Macaca fascicularis: one gene and its partner. The protein of the gene in region 1 purifies or fractionates together with the protein of each later gene. This does not show direct contact. Links are inferred from orthologs where the notes say so. Each region holds a gene or a part of one and is shown in the gene's direction. Other genes may lie near its edges.

What was found.
Region 2: the proteins of tubulin alpha-1C chain (region 1) and TXNDC9 purify together in Homo sapiens (co-immunoprecipitation; 3 studies listed by BioGRID and IntAct, counting the BioPlex papers as one, with this or other methods). This does not show direct contact. The link is inferred for Macaca fascicularis from reciprocal best matches to the Homo sapiens genes TUBA1C and TXNDC9.

The regions. Positions count from the first base shown.
Region 1 is NC_088385.1:56,088,019-56,091,082, forward strand, and holds part of tubulin alpha-1C chain, read left to right. Parts: intron 1-1,684; coding exon 1,685-1,907; intron 1,908-2,037; coding exon 2,038-2,186; intron 2,187-3,064. UniProt on the Homo sapiens protein: Tubulin is the major constituent of microtubules, a cylinder consisting of laterally associated linear protofilaments composed of alpha- and beta-tubulin heterodimers.
Region 2 is NC_088387.1:3,821,762-3,825,584, reverse strand, and holds part of TXNDC9 (thioredoxin domain-containing protein 9), read left to right. Parts: intron 1-228; coding exon 229-347; intron 348-3,823. UniProt on the Homo sapiens protein: Significantly diminishes the chaperonin TCP1 complex ATPase activity, thus negatively impacts protein folding, including that of actin or tubulin.

The DNA.
Region 1 (3,064 bases):
TTCCTGTTAAGTCTGTGTGTACAGATTCTATGTTTGTTGCCTTATTTTACTAAGCAGGTGTGGGTTTGGTAACTTCTAACCATATTTTGCTTTGGCCCCTCTGGCCCTTCTAAATTGGTCTACCTCAAAAAATATAGAGAGAGAGAAAGAGAGACACAGACTGACTGAGTCTTGGCTGTTTCCCAGGCTGAAGTGCAGTGGTGAGATCTCTGCAGTCGCCGCCTCCTGGGTTTGGGTTCAGGTGATTCTCATGCCTCAGCTTACCCCAAGTAGCTGGGACCTATAGGCGCACACCACCGTGCCTGGATAATTCTCGTATTTTTTCTTTTTTTTTTTTTTGGAGACGGAGTCTTGCTCTGTCGCCCAGGCTGGAGTGCAGTGGCTGGATCTCAGCTCACTGCAAGCTCTGCCTCCCGGGTTCACGCCATTCTCCTGCCTCAGCCTCCCGAGTGGCTGGGACTACAGGCGCCCGCCACCACGCCCGGCTAGTTTTTCGTATTTTAGTAGAGATGGGGTTTCACCGTGTTAGCCAGGATGGTCTCGATCTCCTGACCTGGTGATCCGCCCGTCTCGGCCTCCCAAAGTGCTGGGATTACAGGCTTGAGCCACCGCGCCCGGCTAATTCCCGTATTTTTAGTAGAGACGGGGTTTCAGCATGTGGCCAGGCTGGTCTTGAACTCCTGACCTCAGGTGATCCGCCCACCTTGGCCTCCCAAAGTGCTGGGATTACTGGTGTAAGCCAGCACCTGGCCAGAAACAACTGATTTCTTAACCTATCAGTAAAGTCTTGGTAACATTTCTAGCCTTTATTATTATGGTCTTCCCTCTCCCGGAGATGTTTTGATGGTGAAGGAAAAATGTTCTTCCTAACAGATTCTTCTGCATGGTTAAAAAGCTGCCTCTGACCACAGTTTTTAAAATACAGCTAACTGCTGCTTATCCAGCATTTTCTTCATGAGTCATATGGCTGTAGTTTGCTGGTTTAAGCTGGTTTTAAAGGAGGGAGGCAGAAGCTTTTGTCTCCCAAAGAATAGGATTAAAGCAGGACCAGAATGAGCTCAGTAGTTACACAATCATTCAGAGAATGAATCAGAGCTGGAAAGGGGAATTTTGCCTTAGTTTAAGGAATCATATCTACTGTGGCTACAAAGCAACGGTCTGGTCTTGCCGAGTAGTTCATGAACATATCTTTGGTTTTCCAAGGCATTTTTGCTGAATTAGGTCTTCAAAAATTTTTACTTTTGAAAGTAGTCCCTGAGCAGGAGTGGCCTGCTGAAAAATGGTTATCTTTTTTTGTTTGAGATGGAATCTCTGTCACTCAGGCTGGAGGGCAGTGGTGTGATCTCAGCTCATTGCAGCCTCCACCTCCTGGGTTCAAGTGATTCTCCTGCCTCAGTCTCCCAAGTAGCTGGGACTTACAGGTGTGTGCCACTATGCCCGGCTAATTTTTTTTTTGTATTTTTAGTAGAGACACAGTTTTGCCATGTTGGCCAGGCAGGTCTCGAACTCCTGACCTCAGGTGATCACCTGCCTCAGCCTCCCAAAGTACTGGGATTACAGGCGTGAGTCACTGCGCCCAGCCAGTTATCTGTCTTGAAGGTTAATCAGTCATTAGGTGTGAATCATTCCTAAATGTCCCATCTGATGTATCATATCCTGACATTTTCCTTTCTTCCTCCCACAGCGTGAGTGCATCTCCATCCATGTTGGCCAGGCTGGTGTCCAGATTGGCAATGCCTGCTGGGAGCTCTACTGCCTGGAACATGGCATCCAGCCTGATGGCCAGATGCCAAGTGACAAGACCATTGGGGGAGGAGATGATTCCTTCAACACCTTCTTCAGTGAGACGGGCGCTGGCAAGCATGTGCCCCGGGCCGTGTTTGTAGACCTAGAACCTACTGTCATTGGTGAGTTGACCTCAGTAACCGAAGTGAGATCCCAGGGTGCTGGGACAGGAGGTCTGTCCTGGGGGCTCCGCTAGTCACCCACTCACCCACTCTTTCCTTCTCCCCTGCTCCTCACCGTCATCTTCTCCAGATGAAGTTCGCACTGGCACCTACCGTCAGCTCTTCCACCCTGAGCAACTCATCACAGGCAAGGAAGATGCTGCCAATAACTATGCCCGAGGGCACTACACCATTGGCAAGGAGATCATTGACCTCGTGTTGGACCGAATTCGCAAGCTGGTAAATAAAGTGGGGCAAGAGTTTCTTTTGTGGTTCTGAGACCAAACTACAAAAATCATTCTTTGCAACTGAAATGAGACTATTGGCATTGCAACTAAAATGCGACTGCTCACTAAATTAATTGGATCTCTGAACCAGATGGTCTTGGGTTTATGGGATAACTATGGGGTAGGAGGAAGTGCTCATTAGCCTATTTTGATTCAAGCTGAGACACCCCTTTTGAGGTCATCTTAGTCACACTGAGTGAGTAGGTGGCTGACTTCTATATACAACTAATTGATTAAAGTCACTTAAAAAATCTGGACTGGTTCCTTCATGTCAATAAAGTTCAGAGAACAAGAAGCCAGTGTCACACTGACAAGAAACAGCCAACAGTGGAAACTTCCAGTACAGCTGAAAGTGGAGTCGGGAGCTTCCTTATGAAGTGTGCTGTTTGGATCACTTTAAGAGCCTGGCAATCAGATGACTCTTTGCTCCTTAGGCATGTGGGCAGCTTGTAAGTAATTAACCAGAGATCAAGCATGATGGCCTGGGCAGAGTAACTTGTCAAGAAAATCACATTGTATTAAGCCCAGCCATGACTGCTCCATTCTAAAAAAAAGAATGGCCTCATCATTCATGGCTTCATACTTTCCTCAAATGTTTACGTAGTCTTCCCAGAAAAACTGGACTGATGTTTCCTATGCTTAAAAACTAAGCTTTAGTTACAAGCACTGACTTGGAAATCAGGACCTGCCTTTAGGGACAAATAAACCTAGTAGCTAGTTAGGGTTCTGGAGTGAGGTTTATTGCCTGCCAAAATAATTGCATTTGTCCTTAGCATTACTGGGTTCACAGGAGGCTTAATGGGTGTAATTGGTAGGTGAGAGTCTGTCTTG
Region 2 (3,823 bases), on another chromosome or scaffold:
TTCCCTCCAGTATTGTGATATAGCTACGATATTGGGAACAGGCAACAGCTGTTGAGAATCGTGTTCCTTCAGTCCCTACTTGAAGGAACTAAAAAAAAAAAAAAAAAAAGTGGTTTTTTTGTTTTTAAATTCATTACAAAATACGACAGTGATTTGGACACTTAAAATGTCAAGTGGTGCTGAAAGAGAGATTTCACATGTGTCATGTTTTGCTTCTCTCCAAATTAGGAATGGCTTTCTAAAGGACACGGGGAATACAGAGAAATCCCTAGTGAAAGAGATTTTTTTCAAGAAGTCAAGGAGAGTAAAAAAGTGGTTTGCCATTTCTACAGAGACTCCGCATTCAGGTAACTTTGTTTCCATCTGTGACTTTTTCTTAAAAAAACCACAATGAATTGTTTGGATAAAGATACACTGGCTTACTAGAGAAATGAAGAAAACTAAAAGGAAAAACTTCCTAAGTTGTTTCATTGTACTCTCTCATACGTTATTTAGTATTAAGCAGGTGGGGGTCCAATCACTCAAGCCTGCAATCCCAGCATTTTGGGAGGCCGAGGGTGGGGGCGGATCACTTGAGGTCAGGAGTTCGAGATCAGCCAGGCCAACATGGAGAAACCCTGTCTCTACTAAAACTACAAAATTAGCCGGATGTGGTGGCAGGTACCTGTAGTCCCAGCTACTGGGGAGGCTGAGGTGGGAGAATTGCTTGAACCCGGAGACAGAGGTTGCAGTGAGTGGAGATCGTGACACTGCACTCCAGCTTGGGCGATAGAGTGAGACTCTGTCTCAAAAAAAAAAAAAAAAAAAAGAGAAAAAAAAAGTTAATCGTTATTTTAAGGAGTAACTTAAAGAACAGTTTCTTGCAAAAGTATAAATGGATATTACTGAAAGTCAGTATTCTCATATAAACGGCTTATGTTTTTGAATTGTGTTTTCACTAGCTAACTCTAAAAACATCTTAGAAATGTACACTTTAAATTCTTTTTTTTTTTTTTGAGACGGAGTCTCGCTGTGTCGCCCAGGCTGGAGTGCAGTGGTGAGATCTCAGCTTACTGCAATCTCCACCTCCCAGGTTCAAGCAATTCTCCTGCCTCAGCCTCCCAAGTAGCTGGAACTACAGGCACCTGCCACCACGCCCGGCTACTTTTTTGTATTTTTAGTAGAGATGGGGTTTCACTGTGTTAGCTAGAATGGTCTCAATCTCCTGACCTCATGATCCACCCGCCTCGGCCTCCCTAAGTGCTGGGATTACAAGCTTGAGCCACTGCGCTCAGCCCACTTAAAATTCTTATCAGCATGACAGTAATTATTTCCCTCTAGTATTGTGATATACCAGTCTTGGCTGGAAGGAGAAGTGATTTTTCTTAGACCACCCTACGTCTCCATATCTCTCTAAGGAGGCTGATCTCTTATAAAATGTTAATACCTCCCCAAAAAAAGTCTTATCTTAAACCAAAGGACCCAAGCCTTTGTGGGTTTTGGTGCACAGATTTGATTAGTCGCCAACACTTAAAAATTGAGAGATAACCCCTTTAGAAAATATCCACATTCGGAATTTTTCTTTAAAAAATATCAGAAAACTTACTAATAGCATCACTGGAACTAGAATGGCAGTCATCTGCTGACTGGCACCTGCCCACCCGGGACAGACAAGCACTGTGCTCTGGAGTCTCTGGCACTCACTGTGGTTTTGGGCCTGCTGTGTTTCTCATTTCTGTGGCCTGCCTGCCCCTTTGTCTTCATCTCACAACCCAACAGCTTCGTTGTTAACACCTTTCAAGAATTGATTGCCTGGTATTCATTGACTAAGAGAATAAAAATGAAAGAAAATATTGAGATGGTGAAATCCCTCGTGAGGAACAGTGAGAGAAGGGATTAGGAAGGTAGAAAGGTATCAGAGAAACCTCTGCCCTTGTGGTACACAGCCATCTCCCATTGGCACACATTCCTCTGTTGCCAACCTCTGACAAATAGGATGAAGTGATACATAAATATACTAGTATGTAAAATATTATTTGTCCACTTGTTTTTTTGTTTTTGAGAGAGTCTTACACTGTCACCCAGGCTAGAGTGCAATGGCGGGATCTCGGCTCACTGCAACCTCCACCTCCCAGGTTCAAGTGATTCTCCTGCCTCGGCCTCCCGAGTAGCCAGGACTACAGGAACCCGCCACCATACCTGGCTAATTTTTGTATTTTTAGTAGAGAAGGGGTTTCGCCAGGTTGGCCAGGCTGGTTTCAAACTCCTGACCTCAGGTGATCCACCCACCTTGGCCTCCCAAAGTGTTGGGGATTACAGGCATGAGCCACGGCACTCGGCCTCACTTGCGTTTTGTATGTCTTCCCCAACCAGATTGTTGTTTTTGTAGAGGCAGAGCATTTGCCTGTATTGTGGCCCACTGTGCTCTGGGATCATAGCCCTAAGGCAACTGCCTGACACATAGTAGTCAATAAATAATGTTTGATCGGTATATAAACAGTGCATCACCAGGAGTACTCACCTTCAAACAGAACTGAAAAATCAAAATCATCCAGTTAACTTTATATATTAGCAAAGTTTCTAGCTCATAGTAGGTAGGATGCTTTCATGTATATTATCCCTAGAACATTCACAATAATCTTCAGAGGCACTTATTATTATTCCTGTATTTCATGTGTGGAAACCAAGATTTGGAGAAATTAAGTGACTCACCTAGTATCACTCACATACTAAATAATTAAAAAAAAAAAAAAAGATTTGAACCAATGTTTCTTTGGATTTTTTGTTTTGTTTTGTTTTTGAGACAGAGTCTCTCTGTCGCCCAGGCTGGAGTGCAGTGACAACGATGTTGGCTCACTGCAACCTCTGCCTCCCGGGTTCAAGCGATTCTCCTGCCTCCGCCTCCTGAGTAACTGAGATTACAGGGGCACGCTACCAGACCTGGCTAATTTTTGTAATTTTAGATGGGGTTTTACCATATTGGTCAGGCTGGTCTCGAACTCCTGACCTCAGGTGATCCACCGACCTTGGCCTCCCAAAGTGCTGGGATTACAGGCATGAGCCACCATGCCCGGCTGAACCCATGTTTTAAGCCTATTGCTATTTTTTAAATTTTTGTGGGTAGTCATAGGTAAATATGGGGTACATGAGATATTTTAACACAGGCATGAAATGTTTAATAATCACATCAGGGTAAATGGAGTATCAGTCACCTCAAGCTTTTATCCTTTGTGTTATAAACAATCTAATTATGCTCTTTTAGTTATTTTTAAATGTACATAAAGGCCTATAGCTATTCATACCATGACTGTTGTTTTGGATTTTTAAAAATTGATTGACGGGTTGGGCACCGTGGCTCATGCCTGTAATGCTAGTACTTTGAGAAGCTGAGGCAGGCGGATCACGAGGTCAGGAGATCGAGGTCATCCTGCCCAACATGATGAAAACCCATCTCTACTAAAGTACCAAAACTTAGCTGGGCCTGGTGGCACGTGCCCATAGTCCCAGTTGCACAGGAGGCTGAGGCAGGGGAATTGCTTGAACCTGGGAGGCAGAGGTTGCTCTGAGCCGAGATCACACCACTGCACTCCAGCCTGGCAACAGAGCAAGACTCTGTCTCAAAAAAAAAAAAAAAAAATTGATTGACAAATGGTATAATCATAGACTTATTTAAAATAGGTTCGTGGCCAGGTGTGGTGGCTCACACCTGAAATCCCAGCACCTTTGGGAGGCTGAGGCCGGTAGATCACCTGAGGTCAGGAGTTCAAGACCAGCCTGACCAATATGGTGAAACCCTGTCTATTAAAATACAAAAATTAGCCAGGCATGGTGTGGGCGCCTGTAA